Linked DNA regions of Tribolium castaneum. The protein of the gene in region 3 binds, or shares a complex with, the protein of the main gene of each other region. Links are inferred from orthologs where the notes say so. Each region holds a gene or a part of one and is shown on either strand. Other genes may lie near its edges.

What was found.
Region 1: nito (region 3) and Mettl14 share a complex: the UniProt entries of both Drosophila melanogaster proteins name them as parts of the WMM complex. The link is inferred for Tribolium castaneum from reciprocal best matches to the Drosophila melanogaster genes nito and Mettl14.
Region 2: nito (region 3) and fl(2)d-associated complex component share a complex: the UniProt entries of both Drosophila melanogaster proteins name them as parts of the WMM complex. The link is inferred for Tribolium castaneum from reciprocal best matches to the Drosophila melanogaster genes nito and Flacc.
Region 4: nito (region 3) and vir share a complex: the UniProt entries of both Drosophila melanogaster proteins name them as parts of the WMM complex. The link is inferred for Tribolium castaneum from reciprocal best matches to the Drosophila melanogaster genes nito and vir.

Annotation. Positions count from the first base shown.
Region 1 is NC_087399.1:166,059-171,038, reverse strand, and holds Mettl14 (N6-adenosine-methyltransferase non-catalytic subunit), read left to right. Parts: upstream 1-1,492; 5' UTR 1,493-1,621; coding exon 1,622-1,687; intron 1,688-1,737; coding exon 1,738-2,336; intron 2,337-2,388; coding exon 2,389-2,896; 3' UTR 2,897-3,170; downstream 3,171-4,980. Other genes in the region: BicC (protein bicaudal C), read right to left, coding at 1-139, 187-417, 472-878, 926-1,148; phosphatidylinositol 3,4,5-trisphosphate 3-phosphatase and dual-specificity protein phosphatase PTEN, read right to left, coding at 4,239-4,425, 4,475-4,595. UniProt on the Drosophila melanogaster protein: Non-catalytic component of the WMM complex, a complex that mediates N6-methyladenosine (m6A) methylation of mRNAs, a modification that plays a role in the efficiency of mRNA splicing and is required for sex determination.
Region 2 is NC_087398.1:11,172,100-11,177,491, reverse strand, and holds the start of fl(2)d-associated complex component, read left to right. Parts: upstream 1-2,144; 5' UTR 2,145-2,407; coding exon 2,408-3,588; intron 3,589-5,392. Other genes in the region: calcyphosin-like protein, read left to right, coding at 1-66; Xxylt (xyloside xylosyltransferase 1), read right to left, coding at 463-940, 1,038-1,179, 1,228-1,663. UniProt on the Drosophila melanogaster protein: Associated component of the WMM complex, a complex that mediates N6-methyladenosine (m6A) methylation of mRNAs, a modification that plays a role in the efficiency of mRNA splicing and is required for sex determination.
Region 3 is NC_087396.1:24,539,740-24,545,043, forward strand, and holds nito (RNA-binding protein spenito), read left to right. Parts: upstream 1-1,900; 5' UTR 1,901-2,055; intron 2,056-2,106; 5' UTR 2,107-2,118; coding exon 2,119-4,251; coding exon of another isoform or gene 4,252-4,272; exon of another isoform or gene 4,273-4,422; coding exon 4,423-4,449; 3' UTR 4,450-4,858; downstream 4,859-5,304. Other genes in the region: uncharacterized protein LOC663498, read right to left, coding at 1-21, 505-523, 575-613. UniProt on the Drosophila melanogaster protein: RNA-binding protein that acts as an associated component of the WMM complex, a complex that mediates N6-methyladenosine (m6A) methylation of mRNAs. M6a modification plays a role in the efficiency of mRNA splicing and is required for sex determination.
Region 4 is NC_087394.1:22,068,264-22,072,125, forward strand, and holds the end of vir (protein virilizer), read left to right. Parts: intron 1-2,079; coding exon 2,080-2,485; intron 2,486-2,534; coding exon 2,535-2,796; intron 2,797-2,844; coding exon 2,845-2,887; 3' UTR 2,888-2,945; downstream 2,946-3,862. Other genes in the region: active regulator of SIRT1, read right to left, coding at 3,297-3,416, 3,470-3,627, 3,685-3,777, 3,826-3,862. UniProt on the Drosophila melanogaster protein: Associated component of the WMM complex, a complex that mediates N6-methyladenosine (m6A) methylation of mRNAs, a modification that plays a role in the efficiency of mRNA splicing and is required for sex determination.

The DNA.
Region 1 (4,980 bases), on a different chromosome or scaffold from region 3:
TTTGGTCCTGGGCATCAGGAAACATGATTTGGCATTTGGTGTAGTGCATGATTGCCTTTAGGTTTGAATGATTTTTGCCCAAAACGATTGCATGGTGTTGGGGCGAAATTTGGATAGTCATTTGAACCGGAATTTGGTTCTAAAAAAATTTCTAGAATTTTGTTGGAAAACACAACTTATAAGTACCGTCAAATTTTCGCACATGTATTCCATGAGCAAAATTGTAGCCTGCTTCACCTGCTCCACCTCCCATTCGACTCCCTTGACTAGTACTATAGTAGCATGAAGTTTGGACCTAGTTTTGAACATGACTTGCACTTTGTACTGTTCCTGGATTTTAATTACGTAAGGACACGTATTATCAATATTTTGGGCCATTATTGGAGGCTCAAACCCAAAAATCAGCGGAATTAATTCCTGAAATGATTGTACTAGTGGTAGGGTTGGATTCAAAATGTTTGATAACTATACCCTAACGCGACTCCTTGCATTTTCAACCCCTTCCAAATCGCCCGAAATCGAAACTTGATTGCTTTTTTCCATCGGATTCGAACGATTCGAATCAGGGAAATGTACGTGGCATTGAGTTTCTTCCATGACACGTTTAATACTCAGCCCTCCTCTGCCGATAATATGCGAATGGTCCGTGTAACTTATGTCCATTTTCATGGTTACACGATTGCATCTCGTGTACAAAACCGTCATAATCCTGTCTTTGGCGGCTTTAACATCCTCTTCTTTGCCGGCGATCCTCACGTGAGGATCCTTTTTCGATTTAGCCCCCAATTTGAGTTTGTTTGGCCACGTTATGTAAGTGTCAGTGTCTTCCATAATGTTCGCAAAAAAAACGTCAGCAGGGATCAGTGCATCGTTGTCCCCTTTTTTTACAAATAATTTCACAAATTACAAAAAAAACTTTACTTACCACTAAGCATCTGTTCCAACTTTTTGCGGTCGACCCGGAACCGGTCCTGGTACAAATCCGAAATGTCCTTTAATCCGTGTTTGGCAACAAAATCCCTTAATTCCTCTCTGGAGCCCCAATTTGAGTTGAAACCAGAAGTAGCCGTGCCGCTTTCCGACACTTCTGATTGTGTGTCGGAATTTTTTACCTCGATTCCACGAGGTGTAGCACAATTACAAGACATTTTTTTTTTAAATCACTACGTCCACAATTAATTAATGACTAACCCCATTTAATGGTCACTTTGTAAGGATTTTTACGCGTTTTTAAGGGCTGTGTAGGTGACACGCTTTTGGTAATTTGCGCGACTGAACTCTGATAAGGGCCAAAGAGAAGTTTTATCTCCTGCTTTTTCTCAGCATGTTTTTCTTCAATCTTATCTGAAGTACTCTGGTACAGGTAAGCGCCAAATTTTACTATTTGCCAACTTTTTCAGGTTTCTAAATAAAAGAAATAAAGTATTTCAACAAAACTTTATTTGTCCTTAAGTGTTACACAATTTATTTCTACCACAAATAATTCATCCCCCAATTTAAATCTACCGCCACGATATGTCAAGCGGTGGCGCTACTTGATTATCATCAATTTTCCGAATTTTGCCAAAAACTGCGGGGAAACTAAATAAAATGAGTTGATAAAACCCGTCTGCACTTGAAAATGGGTGAAGTTATGAAACACCTGCGTGAGAAATCACGGAAACGCAAGCAACTTCTGGCTCAAACTGTACGTATAGTAAAAATGTGGTTATGTATCACTGACAAATAATGTTTAAGCTTGGTGTTTCCAACCCCGAGGAGCTCCGCCAGGTCCTAGGAACCACAACCGAGGTCTCTAAGAGACGTCCCGATTCCACCAACAACGAAAACGAAAAATACGACTACAAGAAAGACACTCCAAATGAATTGGTCTATCGTGACTCTTCAACTTTTCTCAAAGGGACTCAATCGTCGAACCCCCATAATGACTACTGCCAACATTTTGTCGACACTGGTCAAAGACCCCAGAATTTCATCCGCGATGTCGGTCTAGCGGACCGGTTTGAGGAGTACCCCAAATTACGTGAATTAATCAAATTAAAAGACGAACTTATTGCACAAACTGCAAATCCCCCTATGTATCTCAAATGTGATTTAACGACTTATGATTTGAAAAACCTAAATTGTAAGTTTGATGTGATTTTAATTGAACCACCTTTGGAAGAATACCAGAGAACCATGGGGGCCACAAATATGCAGTTCTGGCCATGGGACCAAATCATGAATTTGGATGTGGGGGAAGTGGCAGCGCAACGAAGTTTCGTATTTTTGTGGTGTGGAAGTTCAGATGGACTTGACATGGGGCGCGTGTGTCTCAGAAAATGGGGCTTTCGCCGGTATTTTCCCCATTTTTAGACCAAAATTTTGTAATAATAAATCTAATTACAGATGCGAGGATATTTGTTGGATTCGCACAAACATAAAAAATCCAGGTCATTCGAAAAACCTTGACCCTAAAGCAGTGTTCCAAAGGACAAAGGAACACTGTCTTATGGGTATTAAAGGAACGGTTCGGCGGTCAACCGACGGGGATTTTATTCACGCCAACGTCGACATTGATTTGATCATTTCGGAAGAGAACGAATATGGAAGTTTGGAAAAACCGGTTGAAATTTTCCATATAATCGAACACTTCTGTTTGGGGCGTCGGCGCCTCCACATTTTCGGTAGAGACAGTACCATACGTCCAGGTTGGTTAACGATCGGTCCCGAGTTAACAAATTCGAATTTCAATGCCGATTTATACGCGAGTTATTTTACTAATAATAATATAACGACGGGATGTACGGAACGAATTGAAGCTTTGAGGCCGAAAAGTCCGCCTCCAAAGGGCAAAGGAAATTCCGGAGGACGAGGTCGGGGCAACTTTCAGCGAGGACGTGGCAGGGGACGTTGAAAAAACACTTTTTAAAGCTTTTATTTTTAATTTATGACACTACCATAGTCTCCAGCAGTGCGCTCAGATCTGATTTGAAAAAATTATGACACTACCAAATCATCTCCAGCAGTGTTCTCAGATCTAATAACTTAAAATATAATATTAATCTTGGATCACAATCACAATAAGCAATATCAATATAAAAACTATAATAACCATACAATTATGTATTTATATATAAAAATAGTGGTTTACTTTATTTTCGTTCAATAATAATGACGCAGTCACATAATTTTTGTTACTTTAACCTTATAATACAATTTTTATATTATAAAACTGGTTGGTACCATGTTAAAAAATATTTTTCTGAAGACCATACACTGGGTTCGAGATTGTTTTCAATTAAAATCAGTTAAAACATTAACAAAATTTGGCATCGTAAGTACAACTTGTTTCTATTGTTGAAACACAAAGAGAAAAATTAAAACATGTTCTAAGTTTAACTTATAAGAAGGTACTTCCTAATGTAAAAAAATACATTGAGAAAAAAACTATGCACTAAATAATTCGAGCATACAAATTATTGGTCTTAATAAAATAATTTAACAGCCTTTTCTAGGGAAGAGAGAAATTTTCGTTAAGTTATTACAATTATAAAATTAGGGAAAATTAGAACTGAAGCCTGAACAAGAAATCGTATACAGTTTTGGATCGTTAAATTATTCTTCATTCAGTCTTCATATTGTACTGGCAATTCGGTTCACAATTAGTTCATTTCTAAATTTCCCTACAAAAAAAACTAGGGAGAGGGTTAGGGGGAAAATGGCAAAAATCTTATAATAACCGGTAACCAAAGTACTAACATTGGCAAGATAAAATGAAATGAGATCAAAAAAGCATTTGTACTCTCATAATTAAAAAGTGTTTTGACTGATTTTAAACTTGGTTTAAAAAAAGCAAGCGGATGAATGAATGATCAAAAAAAAATAATGACACAATCCCTTCTCTACATGCAATATTTACAGTTTTGTACGATGCATGCCCTTTGAGCCTCCCATTCACAGGTACGTGGACTCCCCTAGAAATAAATTTAAGTAAGACTGATTTCCCAACATTGTACACACAACACAAATAAGCACAAGCACAATTTACACATAATTACCTGAAATCCGTATTTGTTCGGAGGCTTTTTATACGAAAAAAAAAATAATAATAAAAATCAGACCAACGAGAGAATTATTATATCTTTTTAATCATTGTCTCATTAACGGAAAATACATTCTTACAACTTGAGCTTACACAATACAGTTTATTAAATTCAAAAAACCAGAATCATCACTAAGCAAAAAATGTGATTGTCCTACGAAGAAAAAATTTTGAGGTAGACGTCGCTGTTCCCTAATAATCTATCTGACTGACACACCAATTTAATAAACTGTAATCCGGCTGCTTTTTGTACTCGATTTTGTGTTATTATTACTTGCGAATAGAAACGGTCTCGGATGCGAGCCTTGAGGGACGCCCAGGGTAGATAAACAAAAACGAATCTAGAAATACTGGTAAATGCACGATTAGACATGGAGTTACGCAGTCAACAATTCCGGTTGTTGGTCGCCGCTGCTTGATGTTGTTAGTTGCGAAGCTAACTCGCATTCTGATAATATTCTGTAGCCAACACCTCGAGGATCATCCATTAGGGTCTCGCCTTCATCCAGGACTGCATGAGATTAACCCCAAACATAGATTAGTAAAGACACATGCAGATGATTCGATCATAGAGAGAGAGAGAGAGAGAGAGAGTTAATACCAACACGAAATGAATGAAATGGATTGCGCAAGCGTTGTACTTGGATTTAAAATAAAAACAACAAAAACGAAAAAGTCTTTTCGAAAAAACCAAAACAGATCAAGGAAAATATATTCTTTTACAAAGCCAAATTTTTGTAGCTTACACAACACACTTTATACTCGTCAACTATACAACTACATCCTAATGAAATAAATACTTTTTTCTCTTTTTAACAGATAGAGACAATAATATTTTTTCTGTTCAAACAGCAACAATGACACTTTGAAATTTTAATAATTATTACAAATAACAT
Region 2 (5,392 bases), on a different chromosome or scaffold from region 3:
ATCAGTGCCTCGATCGACAATGACGGCTATTTCGACCTAATGATGAGACAGGCTTACAAACTGTAATAATGAACCCAGTGCTTTGCAATTTTTGAATTTTTAAATTCACTATTTATAACTCACTGAATACGAAGTTTTATTACTCGAATGTTTCCTGTTGTATTCCTATATTGTAACCGATCTATAGATTTAAATACATGTATTTCGACTATCATGGGATTTTTTTTCAATTCTTAAGAAAACAAATCGAAAAATAAAAAACTGTTTATTTTTGAAAAATACTGTTTTACAAACAAGAAAATAAATGAGTACTTTCACAACCCAGTAATGCACTCGTACCTAATATACCGGGTCATACCACATGATTGTTTGATTGGCAATAACCAATGCTGCCAACTCAAATTTTCCCAAAACTACTAGTGGACGTGTAGAGATTCCACGAATAGATGACCAGTCTTTAATTTATTTTGGAATTTTCGTGTTGCAATTTCCATGTAAAATAACAGCGGGGTGTTGACACTTGAAATAAAAATCAAAAACATCACGGTAGCCATGCTCTCGCCACCAGACGCACAATTGGCGATTGAAACCACAATTTATGGTTTGAATCAAATCAGGATATTCAAACCCTATCAAAGTATAAAAATCCTGGTCACCCAAATGACCTCGAAATTTGTATTTGGACGTGAGATATTGCACAGTTTCATTCCTGATAATTTGGGAATATTCCTTTGATTTTCTTATTGCACTTAAATTAATCAAAACAACACCGGAATTATAGCCCTGGAAGCCACGAGGATGCTGCATATTGCTCGATATCGCCTTGGAATGATAATATTCTCCGAATGTTGAGTTCTTTTTCACTTTATAGGTTTGGAGGACGTGACGGTAGACTGGAGTCAGCTCGGGGGCCAAACCAAAAAGCGCAGTTGGCTTAAACCTATCAAACAGTTGAATTAAATTCCGATCAAAGTGATCTATGACTTCATGTCAGTCACAGGTCACTTTGACCAGAATAAGAAATTTCATAAACTCACTTGTCAAACTCCTCAAACACTAATCGAATATCCTTCTTAAAGTATAAATCACAGTCTAGTAGAAGGGCAGTTCGCTGGGAAGGTGGGGCTATCCGATACAGCCCCAAAGAAATATAGAAAAGTGCGTCGCTGTAGTAAGTACCTGAAGTCAAAACTAGTAATAGTGCAATTAAAAAGTAAGCCTTTTTACCCGGTTTTGAACTAAAATGAGGGGTCATAACGTCGACAATATCACTAATCGCTCTTGCACACGCTTCAACATCATAAAATTTATAAAATATTGCTTTATTCGAATGCGACACCACATCTGATATTTCACCTACTGCTAATTGCTTTGAGCTATTATCAACAATAATATGGAACTTTAAAGGAACAGAACTTATGTTTAAAATATTCTCCAACAAGTTGTGGAATTTATATCTTAACGGCGACCTTTGAGAGACTTTAGTAAATATCAACCAGACATTGTATTCTTTAGGCTTTTTGAATGGCAACAAAAATGTTGCATCGTTAGCAGAACCATCGGAATTGTAATGAAAAAACGTAAAATAAACAACTAATAACGCAGCAATTAAAATTCCAAGTTTTAACAAAAATCGTAGTTTAGGTTTTTTGGGGGCGTACATCGTTAATCATTTCTCTGTTTGTCGCAGGAATTGAACATTTTTTAAGTGTTACATTTCTATTTTTCCTTTACACAATAACACAACACAAACAACTGTCAACATAACCTCTCTTTTTGTTTGAAGACCACATTACGAATTTTGATTAATTTAATTAAATGTGCCTTTATCACTGATTGAACTAAAAATGCGAAAGCTGCTTAATGGAAAATTGGTCTTTAAACAGTGCTTTTAATATTTTTGCTCCTGTTGAAATGTTGGCCGCGACGCTACTGACTTTTTGTCAATAAATAAAAACAATTTGAAACAGACCAAAACTACGAAATTAATATCTAAATCATTCGCAAGTGGGGCATAATCAAAAATATATCATAATAAAGTGTACATTATCGACAGATTTTGAGTTTTAAAATTTTTGTTCCCGTAAAATTTCAGGTTGAGACCGCCACTGGTGTTGTCTGTTAAATGTCAAAAAACTATCACCTGTCAAGTGGCTACATTTTTGCAAAACAAATCGTTCCAGTTTTTTGGGAATTGGCTAAAATCTCGTTTGATTGATCAAAAAAGTGTCCATCGGGCGTTTGCAAGTCGAAATTGTGTTTTTTGGGCGCCATCTGTGCGGCATGATGTAAGGAGGCCCCTAGCCGATAAGCCCACAGTCTCCCATGCCGGCAACGTCAAACGTAAATATGGTAGCGTCAAGTGCTTCGCAATTTTTCCTCCTCACCTCGCGAACTCTGAGTGAAAATGTCTAAACAGGTCAAGCGCAAAATAACCGTGAACCTAACTCCGAAAAGCAAAGAAGTCTCGAAGCCTCGCCCCAGCGTGTTCGAGCGTCTGGGCACCAAAGCCAGCACCAGCCAGGACTTTTGCCACCACTGGGCCCAGAGCGGCACCTGCCCCTACGGAAAAGGCTGCAAGTACTCCTCCACCCACACCCTGATCAGCCCCTCGAAACGGGCGGCCAAGACCCAGCGCAAGGACAATGCAAATAAACGGGTCCATCCCGGAAACCCAGACGAGGATTGGGACCACTGGGACCCGGAGGAACTAGCCGACGCCGACCCTGATGATCTAGAAAAGCGCCGGCAAGAACTGCAAAGAGAACTCGAACTACAAATGAAAATGGAGAACAAAGCCCGGAAAAAGGACAAGAAAACCAAGAAGGAGAGCAGCCCCTCGACCGAAAGCTCGTCATCATCCTCGGACTCGTCCTCCTCAAGTGACGACTCCACCTCCAGCAGCTCCTCGTCCATAGAAACGCGTCGGAAGAAGAGTAAAAAAACCAAAACCAAACGCGACTCCTCCTCATCCTCATCGGAGCGCCCCCCGAAAAAGAAACCAAAAACGAAACGAACATCCTCAAAATCGTCACAACGCACCGACAAAACTAAAAAAACAACTAAAACAGCCCCAAAAGCCAAGTCTCCAACACCGCAACGCAGTCGGAAACAGTCGCAAACACCGCCCCCCAAAATCAAGCCGGGGCTCCCCCCAGCAAAGTCCCCAAGGCCCACGAGTCGGTCAAGCGACCGTAAGGAGAAACACCACACGCCCTCTCCCAAACCTAAAGAAAAGGAGAAGGAGAAAGAAAAAGAGAAAGAACGGGAAAAGGAGAAGGAACGGGAGAGGGAAAAGGAAAGAGAGCGGGAGCGGGAGAAGGAACGCGAACGCGAAAAGGAGAAGGAAAGGAACAAGAAAGATAGGGAGAAGGATGACCATAAAAAGAAAGAGTCAAGGTCGCCGAAACGGGACAGCAGGTCGACGAAAGACACTAAGAAGAGGGATACTCCAGATTCGTCGCATTCAAGGGATAAGAAGGGCTCACCAAGTCGGTCTAAAGGTAGCACGGGGAGCAGTCGAAGGGATCACAAGGGGACGCCGCCCAAGGAGGAGAGAAGTCGGGATAAAAAGGACGATAAGGATAGGTAAGAAACGAACTGTTTTTTAAACAATAAATCATAAAAGCGTAAGTTTTTTTAAAATTTTGTTAGAACTGTCTTCATTGAAGATACGCTTTTAGCAGATTCCCCCTTGCATTGCACTGTATATTGTATATGCGAGAAAGAAGTTCAAAGCAATGTTAGTTATGTATTATGTTTCTTTTAAATAGCACTTTCTATTTTTTGTTTATCACTGCTTTCGTATTCATCAAAAGACGAAAATCTTTCATTTAATGTTTCATTTTCACTTTATTTTCTTCAACTTTTACATATTATTATTTTTATTTTTAGAAATTCTAGCTTTGATTTAATGTTTCCAAAAATCTCACATTTAAATGTTTCTTTTGACCTTCCTGTGGAGTGTAATCTCAAATTCAAAGTTTCCTCTATCTTGAACTGCTCAGAGATTTTACACGTACAGAGTGTCTCAAAATTGGCGAATCCATAGTTCAGAGCATTGTAGAGAATCACTTCAGAAGTCTAAATTTAGAAGAAGAAAAAAAATATTCGGGGCTTTCCCACAAAGATGGGTTTGAAGATCACTCTTTAAATTGCGTTTTTTTTTTAAATGCAGGCTAAAAGTTTTAGTGTTGGTATTTATGGTACCTATGATTGTGGAAAATAATAAAATAAAACAATTTCCCAAAAGTTAGCTTTATTTTGGAGTAAATAAATCTAGAATGCTTCAATTTGATACTGCCAAATTTATTGAACCCTTACCTAAATCATTGTCTACTGAACTATCCACCTTTTCAGTTTTTTTTGAAATTCTAACAATTTTGAAGATGTTTTCACCTTTTAAATACATACTTGTTTGGCTAACATAATTTTTGATTTTATCTAAAAGTTTTGATGGATGGTATCACTGTTAACTTAAGTTTTTTTTAGTGTTGTTATAACTAGCTTAAAAATTGTGAAGTACATTTCCAATTAATAAGTTAAATGAAGCCGTTTCAGAATTTTATAGGTATACTTAGGTTTCACAGTTAGCTTAACTTTGCAATCATTAACTATTATTTATATTAACTAAATACTATGCTACTATTAATAATAAAAACAATTATGAAGTTCTTTACAATTAAAAAAAAACACAGAAAAAAACGTAAGCAAAAAAAAGTAAAAAATGAAGCTCTTGGGATTGGAAATAAAAATTAAAGAACAAAGGTCATAAACCTGACAGAATGCTCTGTGATTGGTAATCAGCATTTACGTTTTATGCAAAAAAATCTTTGTTTTCTAAAACATTTCTTTCATTAATATCTTCTTTCAATGTATTTTTTGTAATTTTAAATCTTTGAAAAAACTTTAAATTGTTAAGGCAGTATTTTTTCTAATTTTTTTCCAATTTTCTTATTCTGGTTTTTTACGAACAACGTGTTTTACTCAGTTTTGTTCGTTGATGTACCTAAGATATTTTTGAATTTTTTTCCATAATTAATGAGTACTGGCACAATAAAATTTTAGTGAAGTGTTATTTCACTTATTTCTTCGCAAAGTTTCACCTTCCTCACATATCAACTCGATCGGATTAAAGTTGCAATGATTGGGGAAAAAAAAACTTTCTTAAAAAAATGGAAATTTTTGAATTTCTTCTTTTTGGAAAATTTATTCGATGTTATTTCGTTTTTGCCGAATGGTGATTTGCAGTGTCCATTACAATTACATTATTTGTTGGAAGAATGGGGAGTAATTTTTCTAAAAACCATTTCAAAGTGTAACATATTTTTTTGGTAATCCACGTTTGCTTTATTTAGCAGAAATTTTATTTTAAAATTTTATTATAAAATAA
Region 3 (5,304 bases):
TGTTAACAAAGGAGAAAACACCTGAAAATTTTTGTCTGAGAAATGATTGTTTGAAGTAAGTGCGTAGGACTGGCGTTATTTTCATTAAAAAAGGAGTATTATGTGTTTTTAATTAAAAAATCTGGTGGATTCCTAAAACCAATAAACACCTTATTAATAGCCACTTCACGCCAAATTTAAATGATTGAAATTTCTACTGATCATTGTTCTTTTATGACATGTGCAACTGAAATTAATTCAATTTAAAGCATACTGTCCTTTGGTATTTATGGGTAATAAAAAAAATTAAATTACCAAAACTTAGGCCCAAAGACTCCATTTCAGACTTTTAGAAAAGATATCAGGTACAGATACTGTGTCTGAAGATAGCTATTTCAAATATTTTTTGTAATTTATTTGAGATGAAAGACTTTTGCTTTATTTAACAACACGTAGTATCATCACATGGAACGCTTTACTCCTACGCTGATTGTTGAAGCAATAAGTACTAAAGATAATACTCACCATGCTGTTGGACGTTTAACTGTGATTTAAAATGAGTGTAGAAATTACAATTAATTTATGTATATCTTACCAGTGTTATGATCAAAACGAGTAAACTTTTCCCCTTCATTTTAACTCTCTCACAATCAAATGCCGCAAAAATCAAATACGAAATAATTAAAAAACAATAATTGCACAGTTTTATAGCTCTAGCGTAAGACGCTTTTAAAAACAATTTCATGCTTGATATTTTTAATGAAATTTTATTGCAGTTTCATTTTCTTGTTCATCAAATCTTCTTTTACACACATCTAAATGCAATAAACGGGTGTGTAAATGGCAAATATGACATGACGCATTAATTTTTATATTTAATGCTTGATTCAGCAATTGAAACATTTTATACAAAATATAAATAATTTCAGACAATCGCATTTATGGTTTGTATGAAATTTCTGTTTATAATTTTATTTGTTTGAACAGGTTTTATTAAAAATTAGCCACTTTTTTTCTTTCTGTGGTAATTAGATTTAGGTGCACTAGTTTTTCAGTAAATATCCGTGCACAAATAGGAAATTAACTTGAAAATTACTTGTTGTTCTTGACCAAATAAACCAAATAATTGAACGGCTTACAGGTATTTGATTTATTGCAAAAGTCGAGTCAAAATGCAAAATTTATTATGGATAACACCTTACTGCGGTAAAATAAAATGCTTAAGTAGGAATTACTTCAAGCGCTGAAAAAGTCAGTCTTATTTATCTGTATTTTTATAAATGTGGGATTTTTACCGACAAGTCAAATATCGTAAATTTTAATTAATCATCACTCTGATGCAGCTATTTTTTTTTGAAGAATGTTACAATTCCTCCAAATTTATTCATTAGAAAATAATCCTAATTAAACAACGAATTTTTTGTCAATATTTTAATTGAATTTAATCCGTATTTATATAATCATTCAGATTTGGATACTTTTAGTAGTCACGGAACAAGAATACTTGAAATAAGTTTGGGGTGTGAATAAAATTTGACTGCACTAAGTTAAATTAAAATTTATTTGTCTTGACGAATGCTGGTCTCATTAGGTTGCATAAAATTATACATTAATGAGAAAATAGTTTTTGTTTTAGTTATGTCTGTATGTTTTTTTAAATAATAATATAATTTATTCGGAACAATTTATTAGGCCAGGAAGAGTTATGTCTGAGTTCTCAATAATTTAAATTTTGCAATGTAGATAACCAATAATACAGCCTTGCATTTGGCATCTGTCCGACACTCTCAAATAATAATGTATAAAATTATAAAACTTAGATTTTCTACCAGAAACGTAGATTTAGTAGTAAGTACTATTGTAACTAGCAATTCGTTTAAATTGAAACTTGGCCACATTGAATAAACCGTTTCAACTTGACCGGACTTCGCCAATTCCATCCCACGCCTGCGTACCACCACTTTGCCTTGTCACATCCGCCATATTGTCCACCATTCGCTTCCATTTCTGTGATGCCCCAACGCAGCACTCATCCACCTCAGTAAATGGTGATAAAACTCATTATTGTGCCCCTAAGTAAGCCCCCACACCCACACACACACACCCCGCTGTAAGTTTCCATTGCAGGCGTTAGTGTTTATGCTCGCCTCCAGCCGAGACAAAATAACAGTCCGCATCCAAAACATGAAACGCAGCAGCGACCGCGACACGCCCCCACGCAGCAAACGCTCCCGTTCAAGCATGGGCCGGTACGACGACAGCTCCGACGAACGCCTAACCCCCGAACGCGTCCGCCGTCGTGGAAGCCGCAATCGCTCGCCCAGCCCCCGCCCCAGGTATGTCAGCCCGCATCGCGATGAATATCTGCGCCCCCCTGAACGCGCCTACCCTTACAAAGTGCTCTGCGTCAGCGCCCTACACCCCAAAGCCAGCGATGAAGTGATCAAAGACACGCTCTATCGAGAGTACAAAAAATACGGCGATCTGAGCATTAGACTATCGCATGATGTTGATGAACGCGTAGCTTATGTGTGCTTCCGGAATCCGGAGGATGCACGTGATGCCAAACACGGGAAACCCCGGATTATTATTTATGATAAAGTTGCGATTGTTGAACCTGTGTATGAAGTGCCCAGGTCAAGTGATATTTATAGGAGTCGCCCCAGGTCTATTACACCAGAGTATGATCGGCATTATTATGCTAGGTCACCTGAACGGTTAAGGGTTGATCGGTACGATAGGGCTTACGGGCCCCCGCCAGGGGTCCCAGTACATAGAGATTATCGCAGGGAGGCTTTACCTGCTCCTCATGAGTATTTGGCAAGGCCTCCGATTCATCACCCGGCACATTTAACCCCAAGTCATGGATACGGCCCCCCACGACATACGGTCCCAAGGCCCCCCTTTGAAAAAACAGAGAATAAAAAAGACAAGTTTCCGAATTATTTGCACCACATTCAACCAGAAGATGACCCGTTAGCGACTCGTACGTTATTTGCCGGTAATTTAGAAATTAATATCACAGAAGAAGAGTTGCGTCGCATTTTCGGTCGTTACGGTGTTGTTGAAGATATAGATATCAAGAGACCACCACCTGGCACAGGCAATGCCTTTGCTTTCGTTCGGTTTCACACCCTTGATATGGCCCACCGTGCTAAAGTCGAATTATCAGGTCAATACATCGGAAAGTTCCAGTGTAAAATTGGTTACGGGAAAGCAACCCCAACTACACGTATCTGGGTTGGGGGGCTTGGCCCTTGGACTTCAGTCCCCCAACTAGAACGTGAGTTTGATCGTTTTGGGGCTATCAAGAAAATCGATTACGTCAAGGGCGACAATCAAGCCTATATTCTGTACGACAGTATCGATGCAGCACAAGCGGCTGTGAAGGAAATGAGAGGAGCCCCACTTGGGGGGCCTGACCGTCGCCTCAGGACTGACTTTGCGGACGTGACACCGGGAGTCGTCTACCGACCTAAACCCCCCTATCCTGGACATGAAGACAGTCTCGATTACCGCCGCCTTGACTACGATTACGACTACGACGACTACGCCACCCGGGGGTACAGGGGTCGTGCTGCCTACCCCGAACGCCGCGCCGGCAGCCGGGGCCCTTACCGCTACCCCGAGACAACTGAAGATGAATGGGGGCGCTCACGCCCCGAATACGAACGCCGCCGTTCCGTTGACCGCTCCAGGTCCAGGTCACCGAGACGTTCCCCTGATTCGGATTCGGATAATGGGTCTCGTAGAGCTGGGTTGCTCGCATCTAGTCGGACTCTCCCCGAAGTGGCACGGAAGTGTACGACAGTGTGGCAAGGTGCTTTGATTTTGAAGAATTCGCTGTTTCCGGCCAAGTTTCATTTGATTGATGGCGATACGGATATTGTGGAAGGGTTGATGAAGGACGAGGATGGAAAACATCAGCTGAGGATTACGCAAAGGTTGAGGTTGGATCAGCCAAAGTTGGAGGATGTGCAAAGGAGAATTTCGGGGGCGAGTTCGCATGCGATTTTCTTGGGGTTGGCGGGGTCGACGGCGTCGGTCACGAATGATGATAGTACGGTGCAGACGAGGCCGTTGAGGAATTTGGTGTCGTATTTGAAGCAGAAGGAAGCAGCTGGGGTTATTTCGTTGTTGAATAAGGAGACGGAAGCGACAGGGGTTTTGTATTCGTTTCCGCCGTGTGCGTTTTCGACAGAGTTGCTTAAACGTACGTGTCCGAATCTGTCGGAGGAGGCGATCAAGGAGGATCATTTGGTTATTGTTGTGGTACGTGGTGGTACTGCTTAATTTTTATGACTGTATAGTCGTTGACTATACTGTATTATTATTTTGTTTTTTTTTACTTATTTTATGAGGTAGAGCTCATTTTTTTTACCCCCCTCCAGGTCTACACTGGCTAATTTTGTTGACAGTTTAAACAAATTGTACATTTTTCAGGAAATTGGTGATCAACAACGATGTTGATTGTGTTGATGATGATGATGATGCTTTATCATTTAAGTGCTTACTGAATTTGTTTTGTGAACTTTGAAAATATTCTGTAACTTGATTTAGTGCTGAAGTGAATTTAGTTTAAGTGGTTGCAGTTCTTTCTCATAGTATCTGTCATTTGTATTAGTGGAACATTCTGTAAGGATTTATCTGTTGTTATGTGAAAGGACTGTAAAAGGAAACAATTAACTACAGTGTTGTAGTGTTCTGTGCAAATAGTTACTCTTTATAAAGATTGTTTCAAAATAAAACCAAGTTAATGATTGTGATGTAGTGTTAAGACACTTATCAGTGGCTAGGAAGTATGGTCTTCTATAATCATTTCTCCTGTCTGGTTATAAAATGTTCAATAGTGTTGTGCAAATAGATAAGTTCTTTCAGACGATTGTGTTGTTCTGTTCTTCAAATATTCCTTGTGAGTGTGAATGTGCACAAAGTCCAAATTTCGCGCGGAGTTTTCTTTTCGTAGTAGTGGAAAAACGTAATTTAATGGCTGTGATTTTCTCTAATTGGATTTCTCTCATTTTATTTGGAATTAAACGAGTTCAGTGATTCGAATTTAGTGAGCAAAATTTTTCGTGTTGTTGAACATTGTGAGAACACTAAATTTTTGTGAATAGTGTTTTCAACATATTTTTAAACTTGTACACAGTCATATTCGTTAATAAAAACTCTAAGTTGGATAAATCATTCTACCTTCAGCAAATAGCCAATTGGTAAGTTCCTCCAGCTTTACTAAGTAATTTAGCAACCCATAAGCGGGACTCATAATTTCAGTAAAAGAAGTTTTTTTTTAATTTAAACTAACTTATAAAGTAACAGTTTACA
Region 4 (3,862 bases), on a different chromosome or scaffold from region 3:
AGTTACAATTTTTCCGTTTTTACGCTTGACACGACGTATTTTTTTAATAACACAAATGGGATCTTAATAAAGACATCTTAAAAGGGTTAAATCACAAAATAACAGACTGTTTTACAAGTATTATAATTTTATTAGTAAGTAAAAATGTTCAAACAATATTATTAAAAAAAATTAAATTAATGGGAAAATAAGATAAGATTAAAAACCGAACAAATTATAAGACACTCCTCGCACAATATTAGTGTTATTATTGTAATTTTTCAATAGTGTTTTCAAACGTGTGTTAATTACTGCATACTCGTACTACTTTGTCCCTTATTCCAGCGCTAAATCTTTCATGCTCGATCTTGCTCTTGAATAAATGCTAAAATCTTCTCAAAAAACTCGTTTTTATGGGATTACATAATGGAACTGATGAACTGTAAGTAAATTTTCATCCAATATATTTTTTATGCGTTTGAAATTTTAACTTAACTACTAAGAAACACGCAAGTTTTTGTATAATTTTTGAATTTTTAATTTATTTTTATTTTTTTCCAATATTTAACATTTATAACAAATTTGTAGTTGTTTTATAAATAATTGGATAAATTTTTATAGGACTAACGTCCAATAACTGCATTTGGAACTATTTATAGGCTGTTTTGTCACTAAGCTATTTGCTCGGGGATTATTTTATAGTAGGCTATTTTGTCCTGTAAAATTACATTTTAAGATTGTAAATTTTTATTAAATCTTAAACTTAGATTCTTTTTTAAATTTTTAGTTGTTTCTTTGATTTGTACACGAATAGCCATTGGAATTTTGTAAAAAATTAACATTCTTACCTAATTGCACATTTAATCAAAGTTCATATAAAAAAACAATTTTGAAAAATTTCACTCACCGACAAGCAGATGGATAAAAATTTATTGTGAATGCTTTAACTTTGCAGAATAGGATACATAATTGTTAAAAGTAAATAAACATCTTAATTTACAGTCAGACAAGTTTTTTAAACTCAGTAATACTAAAAAAATATGAGTATTAAATATTTCATAAAAGTTTATTGAATGTAGTTTAATCAAAAAAATTTGCACTTTGAAACTACAAATGGATCCCTTTTATTATGTACAGTCACAATCAAAAAGAATGACACGCCTATTAACCGGACCGGATAGTAAAAGCCTGACTAAAGGTCCTATTCTTGACCATATGGAAAGGTGAGATGTGTACATTTCATATGCATCTCATCTCACATCACACCATTCTAGGTCAAGACTAGCATCTTTTAGGTCAAAATTTCAACAAACTGGCTAGATTACAAACTCTACAGCTAGCTTACAAAATGTCGAAGTAGTTTATAAACTAGCAAAATGTATACATAAACTGTAACATATCAAAATGATTCGTTGCTGCAGTTTTAGGGGTGTCATTCCTTTTGTTCGTGACTGTACACAACAAAAATAAGAGGTTTAAATCAAAATCTTTAGATTAGTCAAAGATAAAGTTAGTACAAACACTTTATTAAAAACAATATAAAAAAGTATTATCTAACATTTACAACTTGACAGACGTAGCTTGAACCCTGAGATGAGCAGGCTTATACTGACTGTAAAAGAAAAAGTTAGACCGGGGTTAGGGGTGTTTACCCCCTGTACATCAACATTTCACATATTTATCAAAATGCTACAAATACGGTTAAAGATACAAAGTGTTAGAAGAATTAATTTTTTTATAAAAAAGTCCGCGACACCATATTATTTCTAGTATTTCTTCAAGGGTTTACGTATAAATTAATCTTTCGGTACGACACTATCGATAAAATGCAACGAAACCGTCGCTTGAGTGTCTTTAAACTATAAATTTCAAATAATTATTTTCTCGCGTTTATCGTGAAAATGACAGTAGTCAGTTTTTCTCACCTTTTTTTTTTCAAGTAATTAATGAAGTGGTAGAGTTTAAATTAATTTAACAATTTGGCGCCCTCATTTTTACTTTTGATATTGTATATTTTTTAAGGATAGAAAATGATACGATTTTGTATTTCGTTTCGTTTGTAGTAATAGTTCATGTGGTAATTAATATTTTGTGTTGAAGAAACTCAAAGATGAAGACATCACCTTCGAGAGCATGCTGGAAGGAGTAAGTGCTGTGGTTAAGTTCCTCCAATCGGATTCTCCTGACACTAAGGAGGCTTTAACGGAGCCGATCTTGCCCGAACCGGAAACTCTCCTCGTCCAGTTTTCCGGTCGGCTCATTTTCAACAATTCGGACGTTTGTGACGAAAGACTGACAATAAGATATTGGCTATCGATGGCGAATGACGAATCCGAAAACGAGAATGTATCATGTGACCTAGCCGAAATCGCCCGTCAGTATCTACCCCAAGACTTTAACATCGCTAAAGAAATCGAAAAACTGTGTCGAATCTGTCCCTCAGATAATAGCAACGAAAAGGAAAACCATGATAACGACCAGAAGACGAAAACGAAGAAACCTTTCAGTATTTTTTGAGATGATAGTTTAGGTTTTGGTTTAATGGTGTTTTTTAGTTACTCCGGTTAGGTCGCGTGGTTTCCCAAGAACTATTCAGCAGAGGTCGGATTTGTTCCGTTCAAGGCCGCCGAATACTTCAAGACCACCCTCGTTACATGTGGATGATTTTGTGGCTTTAGAGACATGTGGGGCACAGCCAACTGGGCCGACAGGGTATAATAAGTTCAGTAGGGAGCTTTTGGCATCGACTAGGATTGCGCGGGGCAGTAGAGGGAGAGCTTTCGTTACATCGGAGCGGTCAGTACATTGCAGACAAATGTAAGTTTTCTGTGTTCGAAACAATATGTAGATAGACTATTTTTTTAGGTCTTGGTGGGGTATGAGCCTCTCCCGGAGCCCCTATCAGTAATTAAGTGTACTGTTTTATGTATTTATTAATGTTCCAATACATTTGATTTCTGTGATTATTTGTTTTTTCATTTGAACGTATCCTCAATTTTTTTTTGGCACAGTCGGTAGGTATGTAAATTAGAAAATTAGTTACAATTTGTACTTTATTTATTTTCTGTTTGTCCACAAGAGTCTCCATTTTCCTTTCATCATTACAAAAACAGTAAAAACTGATAAACCACCACAAAAAATCAGGCCACAAATTCCACTCACTAACAGAATTGGTGTTTGTGAAAGCGAACTTAAAATATTGTCTTCATTAAGGGGCAAAATTGGTACAATTATTAACATAAAAAACATATAAAAAATACTTAAGACACTCAAACCTAGCATTGTTATACCATAAACCTTATTTGACACTGCCATTTTTACCCTGTGTATTCCTCTTCAAATTTCTTAAAATCTTCTTCAGTGAAGACAGTTGTTTGGGTCTTCTTGCGTTTTTTCTTTTCTTTCACAGGCCTTCGAGTGACCGCCCTTTGAATTATCTAAAGACAAAGTATATTTAAATAAACATTTCATATGGTAAGAAGGATTGCACCTTTTCTGTAGTTTCTTTATCAAGTTCAATAGTGCAAACATTTTTGATTTCTTTAAGCTTTTTCAAATTTTCCTTCAAAATCTCGTCCTTGCTCTTAAAAGTTTTCTTCGCTTCTAAAACTGTTAGTTTCTTTGAAGTTGACAAAACTCCTGTTTTTTCTAAAATTGAAAAAAAATACATGGTGTCAACAACACAGTTTTATCATGTGATTATACCTTTGCGTCCTTTTCTACTAATATTTTTCGTTATTTTTAGTTTATCGGGTATCAAGTTGAACACATCTTTTGTATTATTCTTCGACTTTTTAACTAAAATGTAAAGTAAAAAAAAATAAAACAAAAGATGCAAGGTTTTACCTTTAGCTTGTTTCCTAAAATCAGGATCTACAATTTC